Linked DNA regions of Mus musculus. The protein of the gene in region 4 binds, or shares a complex with, the protein of the main gene of each other region. Links are inferred from orthologs where the notes say so. Each region holds a gene or a part of one and is shown on either strand. Other genes may lie near its edges. The genes, in order: Casr, Rgs10, Trpc5, Gnai3 and Rgs2.

Evidence for each region.
Region 1: the proteins of Gnai3 (region 4) and Casr are in contact, whole or in part, in a cryo-EM structure (PDB 8SZH), measured with the Homo sapiens proteins. The link is inferred for Mus musculus from reciprocal best matches to the Homo sapiens genes GNAI3 and CASR. Residues at the interface, in NP_006487.1 of Homo sapiens: Ala31, Lys32, Gln304, Glu308, Lys314, Asp315, Thr316, Lys317, Glu318, Ile319, Tyr320, Thr321, Phe334, Asp337, Ala338, Thr340, Asp341, Ile343, Ile344, Lys345, Asn347, Leu348, Glu350, Cys351, Gly352, Leu353, Tyr354; in NP_000379.3 of Homo sapiens: Lys644, Ala645, Asn647, Arg701, Val702, Val705, Phe706, Ala708, Lys709, Pro711, Thr712, Arg716, Trp719, Phe801, Ile869, Val872, Arg873, Thr876, Ala877, Ala880, Phe881, Lys882, Val883, Ala884, Ala885, Arg886.
Region 2: the proteins of Gnai3 (region 4) and Rgs10 are in contact, whole or in part, in a crystal structure (PDB 2IHB), measured with the Homo sapiens proteins. The link is inferred for Mus musculus from reciprocal best matches to the Homo sapiens genes GNAI3 and RGS10. Residues at the interface, in NP_006487.1 of Homo sapiens: Val71, Val72, Ser75, Glu115, Val179, Lys180, Thr181, Thr182, Gly183, Ile184, Val185, Gln204, Ser206, Glu207, Lys209, Lys210, His213, Ala235, Glu236; in NP_001005339.1 of Homo sapiens: Glu62, Phe63, Ser64, Glu66, Asn67, Ala102, Ser103, Ser104, Gln105, Val106, Asn107, Val108, Glu109, Gly110, Leu137, Lys139, Tyr140, Asp141, Ser142, Arg145.
Region 3: the proteins of Gnai3 (region 4) and Trpc5 are in contact, whole or in part, in a cryo-EM structure (PDB 8GVX), measured with the Homo sapiens proteins. The link is inferred for Mus musculus from reciprocal best matches to the Homo sapiens genes GNAI3 and TRPC5. Residues at the interface, in NP_006487.1 of Homo sapiens: Arg205, Arg208, Lys209, Trp211, Ile212, His213, Phe215, Glu216, Glu245, Leu249, Ser252, Asn256, Lys257, Trp258, Arg312; in NP_036603.1 of Homo sapiens: Thr27, Glu32, Glu33, Glu56, Ile57, Tyr58, Tyr59, Asn60, Lys125, Pro128, Thr129, Leu130, Met131.
Region 5: the proteins of Gnai3 (region 4) and Rgs2 are in contact, whole or in part, in a crystal structure (PDB 2V4Z), measured with the Homo sapiens proteins. The link is inferred for Mus musculus from reciprocal best matches to the Homo sapiens genes GNAI3 and RGS2. Residues at the interface, in NP_006487.1 of Homo sapiens: Val179, Lys180, Thr181, Thr182, Gly183, Ile184, Val185, Gln204, Ser206, Glu207, Lys209, Lys210, His213, Ala235, Glu236, Asp237, Glu238; in NP_002914.1 of Homo sapiens: Glu104, Phe105, Glu108, Asn109, Glu143, Ala144, Pro145, Glu147, Ile148, Asn149, Asp151, Phe152, Leu180, Asn183, Ser185, Arg188.

What each region holds. Positions count from the first base shown.
Region 1 is NC_000082.6:36,513,631-36,517,140, forward strand, and holds part of Casr (extracellular calcium-sensing receptor precursor), read right to left. Parts: intron 2,131-3,510; coding exon 1,824-2,130; intron 892-1,823; exon of another isoform or gene 885-891; coding exon of another isoform or gene 843-884; intron 1-842. UniProt on the Homo sapiens protein: G-protein-coupled receptor that senses changes in the extracellular concentration of calcium ions and plays a key role in maintaining calcium homeostasis.
Region 2 is NC_000073.6:128,415,372-128,419,421, reverse strand, and holds the start of Rgs10 (regulator of G-protein signaling 10), read left to right. Parts: upstream 1-1,249; 5' UTR 1,250-1,307; coding exon 1,308-1,356; intron 1,357-4,050. UniProt on the Homo sapiens protein: Regulates G protein-coupled receptor signaling cascades, including signaling downstream of the muscarinic acetylcholine receptor CHRM2.
Region 3 is NC_000086.7:144,380,672-144,384,181, reverse strand, and holds part of Trpc5 (short transient receptor potential channel 5), read left to right. Parts: intron 1-988; coding exon 989-1,684; 3' UTR 1,685-3,510. UniProt on the Homo sapiens protein: Forms a receptor-activated non-selective calcium permeant cation channel. Mediates calcium-dependent phosphatidylserine externalization and apoptosis in neurons via its association with PLSCR1.
Region 4 is NC_000069.6:108,143,351-108,147,642, forward strand, and holds the start of Gnai3 (guanine nucleotide-binding protein G(i) subunit alpha), read right to left. Parts: upstream 2,803-4,292; 5' UTR 2,656-2,802; coding exon 2,538-2,655; intron 1-2,537. UniProt on the Homo sapiens protein: Heterotrimeric guanine nucleotide-binding proteins (G proteins) function as transducers downstream of G protein-coupled receptors (GPCRs) in numerous signaling cascades.
Region 5 is NC_000067.6:144,001,348-144,005,621, forward strand, and holds the start of Rgs2 (regulator of G-protein signaling 2), read right to left. Parts: upstream 2,803-4,274; 5' UTR 2,772-2,802; coding exon 2,662-2,771; intron 1,707-2,661; coding exon 1,605-1,706; intron 1,495-1,604; coding exon 1,433-1,494; intron 936-1,432; coding exon 769-935; intron 528-768; coding exon 333-527; 3' UTR 1-332. UniProt on the Homo sapiens protein: Regulates G protein-coupled receptor signaling cascades. Inhibits signal transduction by increasing the GTPase activity of G protein alpha subunits, thereby driving them into their inactive GDP-bound form.

The DNA.
Region 1 (3,510 bases), on a different chromosome or scaffold from region 4:
TAAGTTGAGGCAGAGTATCACTTTGTAGCCCGCCCATGCTGTAGAGCAGTCTGATCGCAAAATCACAGAGCTCCACCTGCGGGGTTTCAAGGTGTGAGTTCCACCAGACCCGGGCAGCTGCAGTCTCCTTACCACTTTGATCAATCATATCCTTCTTGTCTTCTAGCCATGCAGAAGAGAAGCTCTCTCCTCCTGCTCTTTACCTGATGTCATTTCCTTCCTCTACCGCTGGGCTGACGACTCCCCTTCACAGTGCTTTTAAAATACTGTTTCACCAGCTCCCAGATGTAAACATGCCTAGCACATTGACTAATGCTGACGGGGTCAGAGCATTTTGGTACAAACATGACAAAGCCACGTCTTTCCTGTGTGGAACATCTTTACTTTCTGGAAGTGTAAGACAAGAATGCCTCTATTGTTATGAGTCTGCAAAGGATTAAGGCTCTCAGCAAAGAAGCAGACCTTTTGCAACAAGAGAAATGGAAATTTATTGATATGAATTTTGAATATTGTTTTGAATATTAAACACTGAAAAAAATTGAACTCTGGTCCTTAATTTAATTTACAATTGAAGGCCATATCACAACCAAGCTGATTCTATCTATTTTCTTATCCAGAGATGTTTAAGCTACTTGCAATTTTCACTGTGACAAAGTGATGTAATAGATCTGTAGTTATTAATCCAAAGAAAGATTGACTTGATAAGCCATAGTGCCAAAGGAAGAAATCAGGCAATAAAATGGCATTTAGAGTTTGCTGTGGGAGAAGTGGAATACAACTTTGAACCAATGCTTATAAAATAATTGCTCTGGTGATTGATTAGTATTTGAAAATGCACCCACCTCCCGCCTAGGCTGAGTTCCTGCAGGATGGAGACTGTTCATATACACTCTGTCAATATTTGTTGGGGAATATTAAGGTATGCTCCATTTCAGACACAGTGATTAAGCTCCTCTATTATGGGGAAGCAGGCTTTATTTCCCCCTGAACGAAAGCTGAAAATAGGGAAAAAGAGACTTTGAGGAAAAAGAATAAGGGGCCAATATTTTTTATTTGATTTTGATTTGAGACTTACATCATAGGATCTTATTTCTTTTGGTAAAAATAGAAGGCCAGCTGCTAAAGGAGTGAATGGGAAATGACAGTGAGAAAAAAGGTGGAGTTATATACGCTAGAGTTATTTTGAAAAGAATATTGGAAGCCAGGCGTGGTGGTGCACACCTTTAATCCCAGCACTCGGGAGGCAGAGGCAGGTGGATTTCTGAATTCGAGGCCAGCCTGGTCTACAAAGTTAGTTCCAGGACAGCCAGGGCTATACAGAGAAACCCTGTCTCGAAAAAAACAAAAAAACAAAAAAACAAAAAAAACCAAAAAGCAAAAAACAAAACAAACAAACAAACAAACAAACAAACAAAGAATATTGGAAGAACAGTGACGGTCTCATTGGCATAAAGGTCACAGAGACCCCAAGTGCTCCTGATAACAGTGCCCACTTACTTTTGTGTCTATGGAAAGCCCCAGAGGATACTGCTAGCATGCAACTCTTCAAACCTGTTTCTCCTGCTCCCTGAGTCTGTTGCTTATCTAAGGAGATGTCACTTGGGTGGAGGATAGCTCAGAGGTTAAATGGTTGTACTGTTGTTTCAGAGAACCTGAGTTCGGTTCCCAGGACCTATGCTGGGTGGCTCACAACCACATGCAACTCCAGCTCCAGGAGATCTGACACCTCTGGCCTCTGAAGGCATCTGCACTTGTGCACATATTTAAACACACACATAATTTAAAGTAATAAAAATAAGTCTTAGGAAGGAAGGTAGCATTACCTGGGGGATATAGAAAAGTCCCAGCAGGTTGGCTACCGCTGTGGAGACACCGGAGCCGGTTGCTCCCACCACTGCGATGGTTGAAGGGATGTGCTCGGAGCAGTTGCAGAACTCATCCAGGTTCAGAGAATCGATTTTGTTCTGGGCAACAAAACTCAAGGTGGCCTCCAGAGCCTTGGAGACGGTGTTACAGGTGTCGAATATCCTATATCCCAGAGTCATGTTGGGAAGAAGGGCGGGGCTGCTGTTTATCTCCTCTATGGCAAAGATCATGGCTTGTAACCATCGGAATCCACGGAAGTTATACCTGGAAGACAGACATGGACTCAGTGGAAGACCCTGTTGGAGTGAGGACTGTCAGAGCTGGGCTTGAATCTTGGCTCTATTACCCTTTGGTTTTGTGATGTGCTCAAGGTCCTCCATGTAAATACAGGAACGACACTTTCCTATTAGGCTGCCTTTAAAGATGTCAGGAGATTGGTAAAAATTCTCAGCACAGTGCATTCCCTTTGAATTAGGGAACAATAATAAAATGACTGTTATTGGTATTTAGTTGAATAATTTATTGCTGCATTCTCTAGCATAAACTTTGCAGTAGCTGGTGTGAGGGTGTGAAGGTGCAAACTGAAGGCTTGGCTAGGTGCGGTGATATATGCCTGTGTGGTATATAATTATCAGGCTGGAGTGGGAAGGTTGTGAGTTTGAGGCCAGTTCTGGGCTACATAGCAAGTCCCCCCCCCCCCAAAAAAGCACCAGGGGACTGTAAATAGATGAGGATATTAGTATGTGGGAACCTAAAAATAACCTCAGATTTGTGGATTTGTCACAAATTTAGATTGTGACATTCCTGGAGGTTAAAGCAGAAAGTGAGACGATCCTTTTGTAGATAAGTATCAAGTATTAAAAGAACTGCAAACAAAAGGGGTAGGAGATGCCTTAAAAATTCTGTGTGTTGGGCTAATTTATAATTTTTGCTTTAAAAATATGACCATTGCTGCTTTTAAAAGAACATTATTTTAAGCAAAAAAAAAAAAAAAAAATCAATAGTGCCAGTTTTCTTACTAGCTTGGGATGGTGAAGGCTAGATAAATGTGCTGACTCAGCAAATCGGGGTCCAGCAGAAAAGCCATCAAGAGAGGCTGGCTCCTCCTCCTCTGAGTTGTGGGCCCAACTCAGACTTATCGACAGGAGGGGAAATCTGTTCCATTGCATTCTACTGTCTAGTCAGGTTTCCAGAACTCTTAGTCTAACCTTGGATGTAAAAATTTCCATATCTCTTTATGTTTCTTTCACCACATAGTTGCTTCAAACTTGTAAGGTTATTGGGAGATACTAGATTATTTTTTAAAATATTCATTAAATGTTATTTTTATTAAGAAACAAAACAAAACAAAACACTGCTCAACTGGTTCTGCTCTCGTTAACACATTTTCAGGGCAAGCATTTTGTTCGTCCGCAAGGCTGTTCCGTAAGGAGCAACATGGGCAGCACTTGTCAACGTGGGTCATATGAAGATATGGTCAACTTTGACGCAGTCTTACACTTAGTTTTTTCCATATTCATGAGAAAAATGTCCCTGGCTGTCCTTACAAACAGAAATCTAGTTTTGTTGGGATAATGTTGACCTTCACTTTCCAGCTATCATGAAGCTCAAGGTGAAGTCTGGGTCCCTTCTTGAAGCTTTGCG
Region 2 (4,050 bases), on a different chromosome or scaffold from region 4:
AGGAGAGCACCATTATGTCTGTGTCTGTGTCGGTTTAGGCTCAGCTTTTACAGAGCCTATGACCCAAGAGCTATTTCAATGGCCAGGAAGCTTGGGGGGGGGGCGGGCGGCAATAGCAGCTGGAGACATTCAGAAACCCCGGCTTGGAAGCCACACTGATGGTGCTCACCTGCAAGCCGCAGCTGAAGACCTCTGCAGCCTTCAGGGGACGGAACATCCTCTTTGGATAGCACAAATGGCCGTGTTTGGAAATGATGGAGTGGGGAAGGGTAGGCAGAGAGATGGTGAATAACCACAGAGGGCCAGGGCTGAGGTGGCGTTGGGACTGCAGGGTGGACAAAAAGGGAGGAAAATAGAGCAAAATGGGAAGCTCAGAATAGAAGATATAAAGGAAAGTGCCAACTAGTGAAAATCCTGCGAAAGAACGCGCGCGGGGGGTTGGGGGGGCGACTGGGGAATGGTTTAGAAAAATAGCAATTAGCACAGCTAAAAATAAAGACCAATTTCGAGACAAAGCCAGACCCACAAGGAGAAAAATAAAACTCGCCAGAAAGACAATTCCTTGCAAACCGAATGCTCAAGAAAATGGGGCTAACGACACCCCCCTCTTGGGCTGTTTGGTAAAAAGAAATGGGAAACTAGATGAGCGTGGAGCGCGGCGCTGAGCAGGTGACTGGCACCAGGAGGAGCGTTGAGCCCGGCGCTGGGATCTACAGGATTCCGGTAGTTGAGCGCAAAGGTTCTCCTGAGACTGCACCCAAGTGTCGTCCAAGTTAAAAAATGTGCTGGCGCGCTCAGATCCACTCTGAAACCGCAGAGGCTCCAGACAGCGTTCTCCGAGGTTTGTCCCGGGGCTTGGAAGCCCCGGCACAGGCGTGGCGTGGGCCAGAGTGGGCGCCCACTCGCGGCGGCTTGGCTCGGGACTCTGGTGACGCCTCCCGGGCATTCGCGGCGTGAGCAGGCCGCGCGCCCACGGAATCGGGTAGACCCGGGGGCGATCTGGGAGGTGACTCGGGCCTGGCAGGGACACCGAACGCTGTATGTCTCCAGGCCGCGAGGGGAGGGACCGGGATGTGCGCGGGAGCTGAGGGTCACCCGGGGCCACCGCGCCCTGCCCTGCGCGGGTAACTGAGGGCTGGACCCAGTGCCCACGGGCGCGGGTGGGCAGGGAGAGGGGAGCGCGGCGGGGAGGAGGCGGCGGGCGGAGCCTGGAGGGGCGGCGTCGCGCGGGCTCCTCCTCCTCCTTGCCCTCTTCGGGCTTAGCCGCCGCGCTGCCCGGCTGCTCCGTCCTCTGGACGCCCGCGGCGATGTTCACCCGCGCCGTGAGCCGACTGAGCAGGAAGCGGCCGCCGTCTGGTAAGCGGTTGCGGGCGCTTGGGCGCGGGAAGGACGGGGTCGCCGGGTCCCCTGGCGCGGCTCGCTGTGCCGCCCGGACAGCAGCCGCGCTCCTCCCCGCTCGCTCTGTCCCAGCCGCGGCGGGAGCGCAGAGCCGGGGAGCCGCCCGGGGAGGAAGTTGGGCTTGAAGCGGGAGTCAGAGCAGCTTTCTTTCTAGAGAAGGTCTGGGAACCACGGGAGACACATTAACAGCCCCTCACTCCGAGGCAGCGTGGGAAGCCAGGCTTCCCTCCTGCGTGCAGCCTCTTTCTCGGGCGGAATGGGAAGGATGCTCCGCCGGACCTCTGCATCCCCGGAGTGGCCGGCCCCGCGGCGCCAAAAAAAGTGGAGTCCCAAGGTGGCTGCACACCAGGGCGGGGGAGGAACTTGTGTGACACGGCGGGGGAGTCACTTTGTTTTTCCCCCTGAACCTGCCTGACCCACAGTTTGGGGCAACTTGGCAAGACAAAGAACCCACGGTGCAGAAATGGTGATTTGAATCGTGCCATCCTTTTTGTTCTTAATAACACCTAACACTCTTTGATGGCTTAGGTTGTGGCCAGGAGCTGTGTTGACACCTTGTGTGCTTTCTCTTGTCTTCACCATTAGAGCAGCCGCGTCGGAGGGGTGGGGCTCTAAAGCCAGGGTGTTGGGTAACCTGCTCTACTCTTAGCTGATGGATTTTTTTAAACGTAGGTTTATTTGCTTGACTCTGGGTTCGGGGTTCAAAGGCTTGCTTTTCTGTCGCCCAGAGATTCACTACGCTTTAGCCGGTTTCCTCTTTTCACGTAAATATCAAACGTGGTTAAGCGGCTGCAATCAGACATAGACCCAATCCCTTGGCCACCACTCGACAGCTGTGCAACTTCTTTGTGACTGGGGATGTGCAAAGGGTAGCTTTAAGTGCTTAATTGGAGACTCCCCCCCCCCCATCAGCCACATGCAAATCATTTCATTAATTATTTAAGACAACCCCACTAAAGTCAGATTCCATAGAGTTATTGTAAAGAGTTTGCACTGTTGTCTTAATATGCGTTGAAATGCTCCATTAGTGTTCCCGAGTGGTCACATTCCCTTGTGATGCTGATGGCTGACACTGAGTGGTGGTCAGATTCTAGGCACCGGAGTTAAACTCCAACCTTGACTCTGCCACTCCGCCACACTGAATAATGAATGTCCTTGGACCTTTCTGTGCCGCAGAGCTGTGCTGGTGCTGGCTCAGTGTAGCTTGCAAGAACCAATTGCTAAATGTTCAGGGCATCTGGGAACTGGTTGCTACGTCATAGGTGGACTGAAATGAACTGTGGTGGGACATATCAACATATGTCAGACATCAAGGCTGGAACAGTGGATTTCAGGAAGCTGTGGACTTAACTACATACTTAAATTTTATTTTAGATCATATTTATCATGTGTATGTGTGTGCTCGTGTGCGTCTCTGTGTGTGTGTGTGTGTGCATATGTGTGTTTGCATGCTACAGCTTGTATGTGGAGGTTAGAGGATGACTTATGGAAATCAGTTTTCTTCTACCGATAGGTCCCAGTAGTCAAAATCAAGCCGTCAGGTTTGGATGTAAGCATCCTTACCCACTGAACCGTGTTGCTAGCCATTAACTACAGGTTTTAATTCTGATAAGGATATGCTTACATTACTAATAGTAGGATCAGCAGTTAAACCTGAGAAGCCCCAAGTGCAATGCTGGATACATGATAAAGGTGTGGGGCTTACTAGTTTCCTTTTCTTTCTTTTTCCATCATGTAGGGGAGTTCCGTCTAGCCTTGCCTAGGTTGCTTGCTGCTTAAAATTATATTTGGCCAGAATATAATACAAATAGAACCACTGAATTGTGACAGATACCTGGATTTGGGATGCTTTTGCATACGGCCAGATTGCAATCCCAAACTGAAAGGCAGTTTCACAGTCATTGCTAGCATGTATCTGTTCCAGGGCAACAGACTAACCCTGATGAAGCTTGCCCACACCAGTGATACAAAGGCCAGCAGGGAAATAGCAGTGCTTGGTGTTGGATGTCTATATGGCCAGAGCCCAATTTCCTTGAAATCTGTGGGTATAAGTTCTGCTGCCCTGTGAAAGGACACGAGCCCCTGCCAGTTTGGTCACTATCATCACCACCCAACATCAAGAAAAGGAGCCAAGTGAGAAAGGAGGGAGGGTGAGGGCTCCTTACAGAGATGCTGTGCAGCAGGCAAGCCGTCTGCAGGACAGTTAAGGATTTGGGAGAAGGTAATTTTGATGTTTTTTTTTTTTTTTCTTGTGGTGCTAGAGGTGTGCCCAAGGCCTTGTATATGTAGGCAAATGGCCTGCCCCAGAGCAACACCCCGCCTGAACTTCGCTTTTAAAGAGGTTTTCCAGAGTATCCTACTGAAGCCCCACCAAAGCTGGCCGTACCCCTGCGGGAGCCTGGGCTGGGCTTGACTGCAAGCCTCTCTCCCCCAGAGCATTCTATGTGAGGCTGAAAGAGTTAAATCTCATCAAAGATGGCATCTGTAAGTAGAGAGCTGGAAGCCCCACCTGTTTCTAAGGTTCGCAGTTGGAGGCTCTATGTTCTGCCTATCAGGTAGGGGAAGCAGGGGGCCTTGATAAAAGTCAGACCCCAGTTCCATCTTGGGGAACCAAGGGGAGCAGGAAGAGTCACAGCTTCGTTTTTTAGCAAG
Region 3 (3,510 bases), on a different chromosome or scaffold from region 4:
TATGGCATTTATTGTGTTTCCTGTGACAGTGACATTACTAAGATATTTTAAGCAGGAGGATAACGTGCTTTGGCTTTAAGCTTTGGAAAGATGGTTTGTAAAGGAGCAAGTTAGTGGTACGCAAACAACTGGAGAGAAGGCAATTCATATGCATTTGTATGACTGCTCCCCCAACACACACACTCCCTGCCCCATCCCAAAGCAGTAGCCTCGTCACCTGACACTTCTTCAGTTTCCTTCCTGGACCCTAACTGTCTTTGCCTCTGCAGTTGTCCTTTAACTTAGAGACACTTCACAAGGGCAAGTACTCTAATAGTTTAACTTAGAGACACTTCACAAGGGCAAGTACTCTAATAGTTTAACTTAGAGACACTTCACAAGGGCAAGTACTCTAATAGTTTAACTTAGAGACACTTCACAAGGGCAAGTACTCTAATAGTTCAACTGTCAGTTACCACTTTCTTTTTAAAATTTTGGGTGTATGGGTGCTTTGCCTGTAAGTATGTTTGCCTACATATATGCATGTGTACCACCTGTATGTCTGGTGTAGGTAGAGGTCAAAACAGGGTGTCGGGTCCCGTAGAACTAGAGTTACAGTTGTGAGGTGGGTGTGACATGGGTGTGATGTGAGTGCTGGGAAATTGAACCCGGGTCATCTGTGCAGTCAGCCAGTGCTCTTAACCACTAAGCCATTTTCTCCAGGCCAGTTACCACGTTACTAGCTATTAGTTCATGTTATTGTCCAGAGGTTCTGTAATCAACCTTAGCACTGTGTAATTTTTCCAGTTGTGACCGAATAGTCTTTCTGTGCTTGACTAATGGAAGATTTTGAAAAGTATAATGTGTGCCTCATGATTTATTACTAGGTACGACTTAGCCGATGCAAAACTCTTGAGTGTCTTCTTTAAACTAAAGACAACTTTTTTTCTGATAAAACATGTCTCCTCCCCCCTTCTCTCTCTCTGTCTCTCTCTCTCTCTCTCTCTAGGAATTAAAGCAGGACATTTCCAGCTTTCGATATGAAGTGCTTGACCTCTTGGGAAACAGGAAACATCCAAGAAGAAGCCTCTCCACCAGCAGTGCTGATTTCTCTCAAAGGGATGATACCAATGACGGCAGTGGTGGGGCTCGGGCCAAGTCTAAGAGTGTCTCTTTCAATGTAGGCTGCAAGAAAAAGGCCTGTCACGGTGCACCGCTCATCAGAACCGTGCCAAGAGCTAGTGGCGCCCAAGGAAAGCCAAAATCCGAGTCGTCGAGCAAACGGTCCTTCATGGGTCCGTCTTTCAAGAAATTGGGTCTCTTCTTCTCCAAGTTCAATGGTCAAACATCTGAACCTACTTCGGAGCCAATGTACACAATCTCTGATGGCATCGCACAGCAGCATTGTATGTGGCAGGACATCCGCTATTCTCAGATGGAGAAAGGGAAGGCAGAGGCCTGTTCTCAAAGTCAGATGAACCTTGGCGAGGTAGAGCTAGGTGAAATCCGGGGGGCTGCTGCTCGGAGCAGTGAGTGCCCCCTAGCCTGTTCCAGCTCCCTTCACTGTGCATCCGGCATCTGCTCCTCAAATTCGAAACTTTTGGACTCGTCAGAGGACGTATTTGAAACTTGGGGAGAGGCTTGTGACTTGCTCATGCACAAATGGGGTGATGGACAGGAAGAACAAGTTACAACTCGGCTCTAAGTCAAATCCCCGTCATCTATTCTGGAATTCAAGAGAATATTTGTAATTTCCCTGTTCTCAGAGGTGACCCCAAATTTGGTTCCCTCCCTGTCCCCAACACACACACACACACACACACACACACACACACACACACACACACACACCAAGGAGTGAAACTCCTATTACTTTCAGTCTTTTCTAGCCACATTCTTCATGTTTTGTTTCACTGTCATTATCATTTGCCTTTTTATATCTATAAATACTAAATCCATCTCAAAAGCAACTGAAGGGGTCCTGCCCCTAATGAGCAGAGGTGCGGTCGGGTGCTTTAACCCCTTTGCTTTGCTTTGTTCACCCTTGCCTCCTTGAAGCTCCAGGTGCCACTTTGCTACCATAGCTGCCGCATAGATTCCTGACATGCCTCAGGATCTCACACCCATCTCCCCACAGAGCTGAGGGCTACGGTCAGCAGTCCCTACCAGCTATCAGATAAGGCTAATCAACCTGCCTGTCTTCGTTGCTCTTCAGTGCTACACGCTGCCCATGCTGGTCCGATGAACAGCATTAAAGGGAGACTCCAAAGAATTGTCAGCTTGTGGTTTCTAGGTAGAACTGGCCTTTCCGTTCCGTTTTTAAACACTACAAGTACTAATTGTGGGGACTGTAGAGGTTTTGTTTCGTAAATGTGTGTTAGTTTCTTAACGTGTAGCAATGAGATATTTACTGTACAGTGCGTACCACATAATAAGTTAGCTAATTTCCTGTGTTTGTATATTTCGGTTAACTTACCATACCTTAAAATTTGAGAGTATCAAAACTAGTATTTAGGATGTGTACTTTTTTCAAAAAAAAAAAACTTTTACTGTACTTTAACTAATAGTTACTACATCTCATACATTGGCAAGAAAAATAATTAGTTGGTATATTTATAGGGTCCTATCTACTGTGGATAGTTTTAATCATCATTGATATAAAAGCATTTCTAAGATTAAAGTCTGGATTTGAAATATTTTTATCAGAAAAATGACAATTTATTGAGGTGTTAAAATTTGGGGGGAAAATGCACCTCAATTTAATTAATTGCTTTCTGGAAAGAAAACCCAACAGATACAAATGTAGGTTCAGATAACTGAATTCAGATTGCAGCTGCAGTATCTACTGGGGGACAGTGGAAAGCACATGTATGAGCTCTTGGATATAGAACATAATAATCCTAGTGGATTTGTAGAACTATACTTGTGGTCTAAGTTCTGCCTTCCAAGAAAGCTGCAGTTATACATTCCAATTCTTTCCCATAGGCAAGGAGTACTTAATCCGAATATAAGTTAAAAATGAAGCTAGTTTGCGGATGGTAATCACCTTAGAACTGAGACCCACCAAACAGCTGAGCAAACATGGGTTTACCAACATATGCTCGGCTTGTAGAGATTAACAATGTCTATGGCAGAAACGTTAAAGAAGGCTGTTGAGTACCACTTGGTCTTTTTAAAGGTCACCACCACCAAGGACTCCTTCACATTTTTGTGATGTCTGCTAGAGGTGAAGGGGGAAACTGTGAAACAATGTAAATGTGTCTGCAAGCTTGCTTTTGACAGAGTAGTTTAAGTCAAACTGACTTTCCATCTCTATCCCTAGCATTGGTGAATGAGGGGGAAAATGTTTCATGTGGAGATGAGCCAAATTAGGGGCAAGGGAGGCAGGAAGTGCTGCTGGATACAACTCAGATACCCAGAAAAAGGAACTAGGAGAGTAAGATCCATCAGCATCCATTTGGCTGGCAAGGGTTTGTTCCAAAATAATCTATCTTATCTGAAGTGCTCATTTATTCAAATCCAACTGCTGCC
Region 4 (4,292 bases):
GTAAATTCTACTTAAAGAAATATCATGAAATATCATTTTTAGAATTATTAATTTTATGTGTCTGGATGTTCAATCTGCATGTACGTTTATGTACAGATGGTTGTGAGCCGTGTGGGTACTGAGAACCTAATGCAGGCCCCATGTAAGAACAGCAAGTGCTTGTGACTGTTAGACATGTCTCTAGTCCCATGAGAGATCGTTTTAACTTCACATATGCATCATGACACAGCTCAGGTAAGACCAGCTGTTTCCGCAACTACTTCATCTTACTGGTTTAATTTGCTCAAAATACCGTCATAAAAAATCCTGAGAGTGGGAAAAAAGTTTCATGGTGTGGTACATACCTACAATCTCAGCTACAGAATCTCATGAATTTTGAGGCCAATATTGTCTCAAAACAAAAAACCTTTTTTAAAAAAGCTAGTAAATATTAAAAACAAATCAGTATTTTGACTTTTACTTAAACTTTTCAAATTCTGTAAGCTATCCTGCATTTAATTTTAATTTTTTTTTTTTTAATTAAAGGAACTAAAGACCCTGAGTAAAGATTTTTCCAGGTACTTGGATAGTTCTGCTTACCCAAGTTTTTCCAGTGGTCAATATAGATCAAATCCCAGAATATGAGAATGCATCTTTGATTTCACATTTGATTCTTACAAAAAATGTTAATGTCACTGGTGTGCTGATAGATGCTGCAATCCCAGCAATTGGGAAGCCAGCTGCAGGAGGATGGAGAACAGAAGGCCGGACTAGGCTGCAGAATGACACTGTCTGAAAACAGCAATTAGGCTAGGGGAGAACACTGACAAGGGTTGTGTTTTACACCAGACTCTGAAAGGCCCCCAGGAACTAACATTCAGCATGAACTTGTCTTTAAAAAAAAAAAACAAAAACAAAAAAAACACTGATTGGTTAACAGTAAATACTTAAGTCCCTGCTAAGTACCAGAAACCACGTTCATCCACAAAAGATACCTATTATCGGCCATCACTGGAAAGAGAGGCCCATTGGACTTGCAAACTTTATATGCCCAAGTAGAGGGGAATGCCAGGGCCAAAAAGTGGGAGTGGGTGGGTAGGGGAGTGGGGTGGAGGGTATGGGGGACTTTTGGGATAGCATTGGAAATGTAAATGAGGAAAATACCTAATAAAAATATTTTTAAAAAGATACCTATTATACAGGCACTGGCAGTCCAGAGCTATGCTATGAATTCTTATCCTTTGGAAGCTCAAACTCCACTGCATAACGTTTTCTTTATATTCAAGCTGCCGCTCAGAGCTTCCAAAATATATAAGCAAGCAGCCAGCCCATCTTAAAGCACGAAGTCAGCCTAAGATTATGGCAGTGGTGTCCGTCCTCTGGAGCTCTACAAAGTGAAATTAGTGCTCTAAAGTGACCTTTCGGGACGGTATTTATCTAAAAAGCTCTGCTGCTTCCAGAACCTGTGACTTATTCGTAATGATTCTCATCTAACAGATTCCTCAAAGATATAAATAATGAATACAGCTGGATTTACTGGTAAGCTAATGCGAGAGAAGTTTATATGATTTACTGGGCCTATCAAAGTTTAAAACGAAATTATCCTGACTGAAACATGTCTGACTAGAGATAAAAAAGCCCACTTGAGTATAAGACAACACGGTGTTTGTAGTCTGAAAGCCAATACATACTTTTATTTTGAAAAACCCAATTAAAAAAAAAAATCAACCCCTCCCAAATAGATCACAATCTCTACAATAAATCTGCCCCAGTCCATATGTTATCCTCTACTATTCCCGACACACATGGTCCCACTGTCCTCTACCCCAAACCTCAAAAATGGCATTCTTTCAATTTCCTCAGCTCACACCATCCCTAGCCCTTTAATTTAAAAAAGGAATCACGGAAGCTCAAGAGAATTTAAAAAAAAAAAAGAGAGAGAGAGAGATTTTAAAAAAAAGTTGAAAAAAGTATTAGTGGCCTCTGCACCCAAGGTCTTTTCTTTTATACCTAAGAACCTGTCATTTATTTCAACCGCCTCCTGGGTGTTCCTGGACAACCCACCTCACTAACAGCACAAAAAGACTTGCGAGCAAGTTCTTTATGTGACCCTCTCTGTACTAGCTTCGCTATTTAATCATTCAATCCTTCCAGCTTTATCCTGACATCAAGTATCAAACTCACACAAACCCTAGACAGGCCCCACCAGACACCATACACTATCCTCCTCAACACGTTCCAGCCCAGTGTGAACCCTCCCTAATTTCGGTCCCTCCCTTTAAGAGCCGTGCCCGGATTCCCAGCACAGTCTCGGGGCTCCAAACTCCCCAACTCTACTAAGTACCATCCCAGCCGGGTTACACCCTCTCCAACCTGAAATCCCCACGCCTTCCGGGGCCTCAGTCGCCAAGCCCAGTACCCGCCCCATTGCTGGGCATCCCCTCCTTGTCCCTTTGGGGTCCTCTCTGCCGGCCTTGGCCAGACCCCGATCAGCTCCGGCTGCTCCCGGGGCCGGGCTCTCCGGCTCCAGCGCTCCAGCTCCGCCCCCAGCCCCTCACCGAGCAGCAGCAGCTTCACTTCTTTGGCCGCTTTCTCCCCGTCCTCCCGCAAGTTGCGGTCGATCATCTTGCTCCGCTCCACCGCCGCCTTGTCCTCGGCGCTCAACGTGCAGCCCATGGCGGCGGCGGGAGAGGGGACCGGGCCCGGGCTCACTCACACACACCGCGGGAATCGCCACACACCGGCGGAGACGGGTCTTCTGCTGGGCGGTGGCCTTCTCCGTCAGCTCCCCTAGCTCCCGGAAGAACCGGATGTGTGCTGTTTACGACACTTCCGGCGACGCCCAGCGGCCGTTACTACTTAGAGCGCTGTGCCAGTGGGAGGCGGAGGTGGTACGGAGAGCGGAAGTTCCCTGGTACCTGACTGTCCCCGTGGAGTGATGGCGAGCCTTCGCTCCGCACCTCCCAGCCTTAATACCCTTTTACTTCTCCGGCTCCTGGACTTGGATTCCAAGTGTAGAAAAAGCGGGACTTCCAGCACGTGGTGTGCTCTGGAGGTTTGGCGGTGAGGATCAGATTCTCAAATGAGAGCTCACAGTCCTCTGGGAATTGCTGTTGGGAAAAGCCTCCCTCTCCAGAAAACAAACAAACAAAAAAACCTTTTTTCCTTTTCATCTGTGATTTGGAGCCCAGGTCTCTGTCCAGAGCCGCGTGTTGGGCACTTCAGCCAAAGTTCCCTCCGTCTGATCCTTGAGCTGCCCAGCCTGGATGTTCACCCATTCCTCTGGCTACACCCATTATGCCAAGTATATATTAGTCCTTCTGCTACAACGTATGGATTTCTGTGAGCTGTACATATGCCTGGCACTCCTATGTTGGCAAAGGATCACTCGACCGCATCAAGTAATAGAGAGTGAAAAATAGGTAGTAAGTATTAGAATATGAAACTAGGTGTAATTCATTTATAATATTTCCACGCTTCCCTTTCTTCCAGGTAAACCTGAGGACTTAGTTCCATACCCAGAAATAAACGAGCTAATCTCTAATCTAACAAGAGTTCCTCTGTGATAGCCACAGAAAGGGGGAAGTTTGGTAAAAGTTGTCTTTCTACTATCTCCTGAATATTGGCTCTGTGAAGAATATCCTAAAGTCCCTACTAAATAGACCCACAATGACTCAACACCCGTTTTAAGAAGGGGCATTTTTTTACAGCCATTGAAACATTTCCCTGGAATTTAAAACATTTCTCTAGTAGGAGGTAACTTAAGCTACAAATTCCCAAGAGAAAGGTCTATAGTGAAAATTAATTAATTAGAACCATCTAATTAGATTAACCTCGTCCACGTCACCCATAATGCTTGTCAATTCCAAGTCTGGAAAGTCTCCCACTCATTTCCAAAAGAAACTGCTTTTCCTTTCTGATCACTTCTAGGGGGGAAAGGGTCAAGAGGAAAGGGGGAAACACAACATTATTGAGTACCTTTTTGCCAGGTAGGCACTTCCATGTCTCATCTCTTAATCCTCACAACAACCCTGTGAGGTAGGTAATATTAATCCCCATTGTCGCCAATGAGAAAATGGGCTCAGAGGAATTCAGTCGCTTTCCCACGTCCACACAGTAAGTACATCTGTCTAGTTTCAACTTCACGCCCTCTTTCTACCAGACCTCTCTAGAAGGTATAGCTGGGAGACCCCTGACAACAGAGCATCTAAGGTTTTTGGATGGCAGTCACCTCGATACCAAGATGTTGGCAAAACTGGCAGGATGGATCATCTCACCCTGTTGCTTCCTCGGCTTGTAAGGGAGATTGTGTC
Region 5 (4,274 bases), on a different chromosome or scaffold from region 4:
CCAGACCTATTGATTTTAAATGCTCCAACAACATTGCATCGGATCTTTCATCTCAAACTCTGCTTTCCCGACAAGGAGGAAGAACACATTCAGAGGCCTGTTCCCTCCCTCTGTTCTTCACACAGTGAGGGAAGCCGTTCTCACACAGAGCCTCTCCTAGGTTGCTGACTTCCTGATTCACTACCCAACATTGAATCAATAGTTCTGAGCGATGTTTTCCTAACACTCAGGCTGAATTCAAGGTCAGTTTTTTTTTTTTTTCTGGCAGGTCACAGCCTTTGCTCTTGGGAGACAGAATGGAATGTCCTTTGTGTGTGGGGGGACTCCTGGTCTCATGTAGCATGGGGCTCCGTGGTGATCTGTGGCTTTTTACATAAGTCCTGGTAGAATTCGGACTCCAAGAACCGAGGATAAGAATTGTTCTCCATCAAACTGTACACCCTCTTCTGAGCTGTGGTGAAGCAGCCACTTGTAGCCTCTTGGATATTTTGGGCAATCAGAGATTTCGTTTGGAAGTCTATGTTTATCTGAAAGAACAAAACAAAAGTCCATTTATTGGCTAGTCAACACTGCAGATTGATGCTTAATAATAAAACATAAAGGTGTAACTTGTGATCAGTTATAACTGTCAACTTTGGAGAAACTTAAATGTTAGGACAGCTGGGATGAGAGGCGCACAGGGCTCTTCTCACTTGTGCTTGAATGTGGTGTATTCAAGTCTCAGGTTTCAACAGTGTTGAAGGTGATCTGAGGCGCCTGTCTTCTTACCTCTTTGGGAGCTTCCTTCTCTATGAAGTCGGTATAGATTTTCCTTGCTTTTGAGGACAGTTTTTGGGGTGATTTGGTTTTTTTGAAGTCTTCACAAGCCAACCAGAATTCAATGTTTTCTTCACAGAACTCGGACTTTAAAAACGCCCTGAATGCAGCCAGCCCATCTGGAAGCACAGGAAAAGCAGCATGAATGGAACGACCGAATTATACACAGTTCTTCTGCACAAAATGATCAGTTTCCTAGACTTCATTCAAGCCTGTCATTCTCTAGGTCTGGCTCTTTAAGCACTAAGATGCCAGTAGGCAAAAATGCTTAAGTTTGTAGTCTGCAACAAAAGTATACTTAACTTCACTGGCACTGCAAGACCAGTGTTTATAGGCCATAAGTTCACTAGGAACTAGGGCTTTTGAAAATATTCTATGCAATGGAAAAGCTGACTCAACCACAGCCTGAGTAACTGGCATTTTAATTTTTAGGCTAACTTTTCTTCCCCACCTGAGGTGAATACCTCTTGCTTCCCCATGATTAAACCCAGTGATATAAGGGAAAGAAAAAGAGGCTTTGAACTGTCAGTGGTGGTAATGTCTAATGCACTTCTTGCAATCATTTCTAGGCTTTTAAAGATACTGGTGAGAGATCACATTCAAGAGGTGAACTTACATTTACTGGCCAGCAGTTCATCAAATGCTTCTGCCCAGAGCTGCGCTTCCTCAGGAGAAGGCCTGCAAGAGAAGTTCCGCAAATGAGCTCCCCAACACACATCAGTTCCCCTTCCCCTTTTGCTTGGCTTGGTTAGATATTCATCTCTGTAACTACAGGATCCGAAACTTACTTGATAAAAGTTTGCTGTTTGCTTTTCTTGCCAGTTTTGGGCTTCCCAGGAGCAGAGGAATTCTGCAAGAAGTAGCTCAAACGGGTCTTCCAATCCTTTAAGCTGGAAAAAAAAAGAGAGAAAAAAAAAATACTTCAAGTGGCAATTCTTGAACGGTCAAACTATCATCAGCTGCAGTAGCTACAAACAAAGCAGATGAGTCTCTCCCTCTTAGCTTTTAAACCCAGCACCTCAGAACACAGTTTTATCCATTCATCCGACTATAATGAGCTTTACAAGCAGGATAGGACTACATAACAGCCAGGGTATTTTAAATTTTCACCAGTTATTTCTGACCTAATAAACAGGTAGTGGATTTTCTGCATGGTTAAACTACAGCTTGCTGTCATTTTTCAATTGAGAACAGCAGTCTTGACCCAGCTGATGTTTCTTCCCTTTCTGCACTGGGGGTAGGAGGGTCTGCACTATGCCAGAGACAATGCATAGGTGTGTGTGTGTGTGTGTGTGTGTGTGTGTGTGTGTGTGTGTGTGTGTGATGGATTCCCTAGCTCCCCTCTGCGACCGCCCACAGTGCTTCTCCGCAGCAGATACTGCAGAGCAAATTACTCATTCCATAGTCGTGACTGGGTGAGCCCTACTTTATGATTTAAAAATGGATCTCATACATTGCGAATCAACTCAAACATCTCCACCCAGCAGCTATGCAAGCAGCTCAGAACTAACAATGCAACGTCCAGACGCCGGTGGACGTTATTCAGCTACAGGATTCTGATGCCACATTAAATGCAGAACAAAAAGCCAACCAGCCCTTCTCAGATCATCTACCGCCACCTTCTTCAACCATTTCCTATAGTTCCTAAACTCTCGGAGCTCACATAGAAAAAAAGCAAATACCACCATATCTAGCAAGCTAACCCCCCACCCCCCAAGCCCCCACACTTTCTCTGCAGAGGTGCAGACTAGAGAGCATTCAAAGCCGAGATCGAGGGAAGGTAGGTCCCTAGCAGCAAAGCCAGGCTGGGTATGAAGAGCTCTTCGGGAGACAGGGCATACTCACAGTGTCCGCTTCATTTTCTCCCGCTTCTCCTCGACCTTGGGGCCGTTGCCTGCACTCTTGTCCATGGGTACGCAGTCGTGCTGGACAGCCAGGAACATGGCACTTTGCATTCTCAGACTCCCGCGGCCACCGCAGCTGTTTGAGGCCGGGAGCGCGCCGCGGGCTTTTAAGGCGGGCGGCGGCATAGGGGCGGGACCTGGAGGCGTCAGCCACGCCCCAAGAGAGCGCGGATTGGCTCGCTGCAGACGGCACGAGGGCGGAGTCGCCCCGGCCTGTGGCAGTCACGGCAGCCCCCGAAGGGCCTGGAAGCGAGGGCGCTGTTGACGTAGGCGCCGCATCCTCGTGCGCACACAGGGTGGGAGGTGGCGGGCGGGGACACAGAGAGATTTGGTAGGCACTTCGGGCAGCCACGCGGTGAAGGGTCTCCGAGTTCTTGGCTTTTCCTTTACTGAAGACCGTACCTTTTACTCGTGTGCGTGTGTGTGTGTGTGTTCGCGCGCGCCCCACCTTTGTATCTATTGTTCATCCGGACACCCATAAACTGCAGCTGGGATGGGGAGAGCCCTGCTGGCTGCACTCAGCAACTCTACCTATTTTAGAGAAGGAAATCAAACAACTAGAAAAACCTGAAATATGGACTGTTGAGTAAGGTGCTGTAGCTCGCTCAGGCACCTTGGAATTCCTAAAGGGAATTCCACGCTACTCAGGGAGGAAGCGGGAGAAAGTTTCTATTAAAACCTGGTGTTTTAACCAGTTCTGCAGTTTTGATCTTTAAATGCATGGCTGCAGCAGGCTGTGGCTTTGCAGGGTCGTTCCCCAGGAGACCCGAGGGGCATCTCCTGCGGGGCACAGCAAAGATCAGAGAGATAGGTGAGAAATACAAAGGGAAACCCAGGATCTCGCAGTTCTGCTGCACACGGATCATGTGTAGTTTCAGAGCGTAAGGAATCAGGATTTCCTCATGAGTCATTCACGGTTGAACAGATTTAGGAATTACTAGATGTTCAACTGCTTAAGTTAAGGTGGCGGTGCAGTGGGGGCTAGAGCTAGATGTGAGAGCCGGTTGGTGTAAAGAATTTGTTTGGGTAAGCTTCATTTGTGAGAACCCCTGTCTCTGCTCCTGCAGGGTTTAATAAGCCCTGATTTGTAAGAACTAATACATGACTTCAACTACAAACTGATTCAGCTTCCTATGTTACCAGAATGATGCGGCGGAATACCTAAGTGGTTTTCCCATAAAGTCTGAACAGACTAACAAAAAGGTACGGCTTAGGCTCTAGTTATTCTGATTCATACTAGATCTACTAAAAGGAAAATGAAGACCCATTCTCAAACTGGGAACCAAGCAACACATTGTGACAAGCTGAGGGTAGTTTGAGTCAGAGATCAAAGTCTGCAGTCGCTAATGAAGAAGATTGGTATAGCCTTATTATAGAAGGAATATCATTTCGATTTTAGCAACAAATACTTGATAGCATGCTTATGAATCTGTAAGATGAAATTTTTAATAAGCCGAAAAGATCTGCACTGTTTCTACATTTGCTTTAATTTCTGACGATTTAATACATATTTATTAAGCTTGTGTTAATAAAATAGTGTTGCTCGTTAAAATA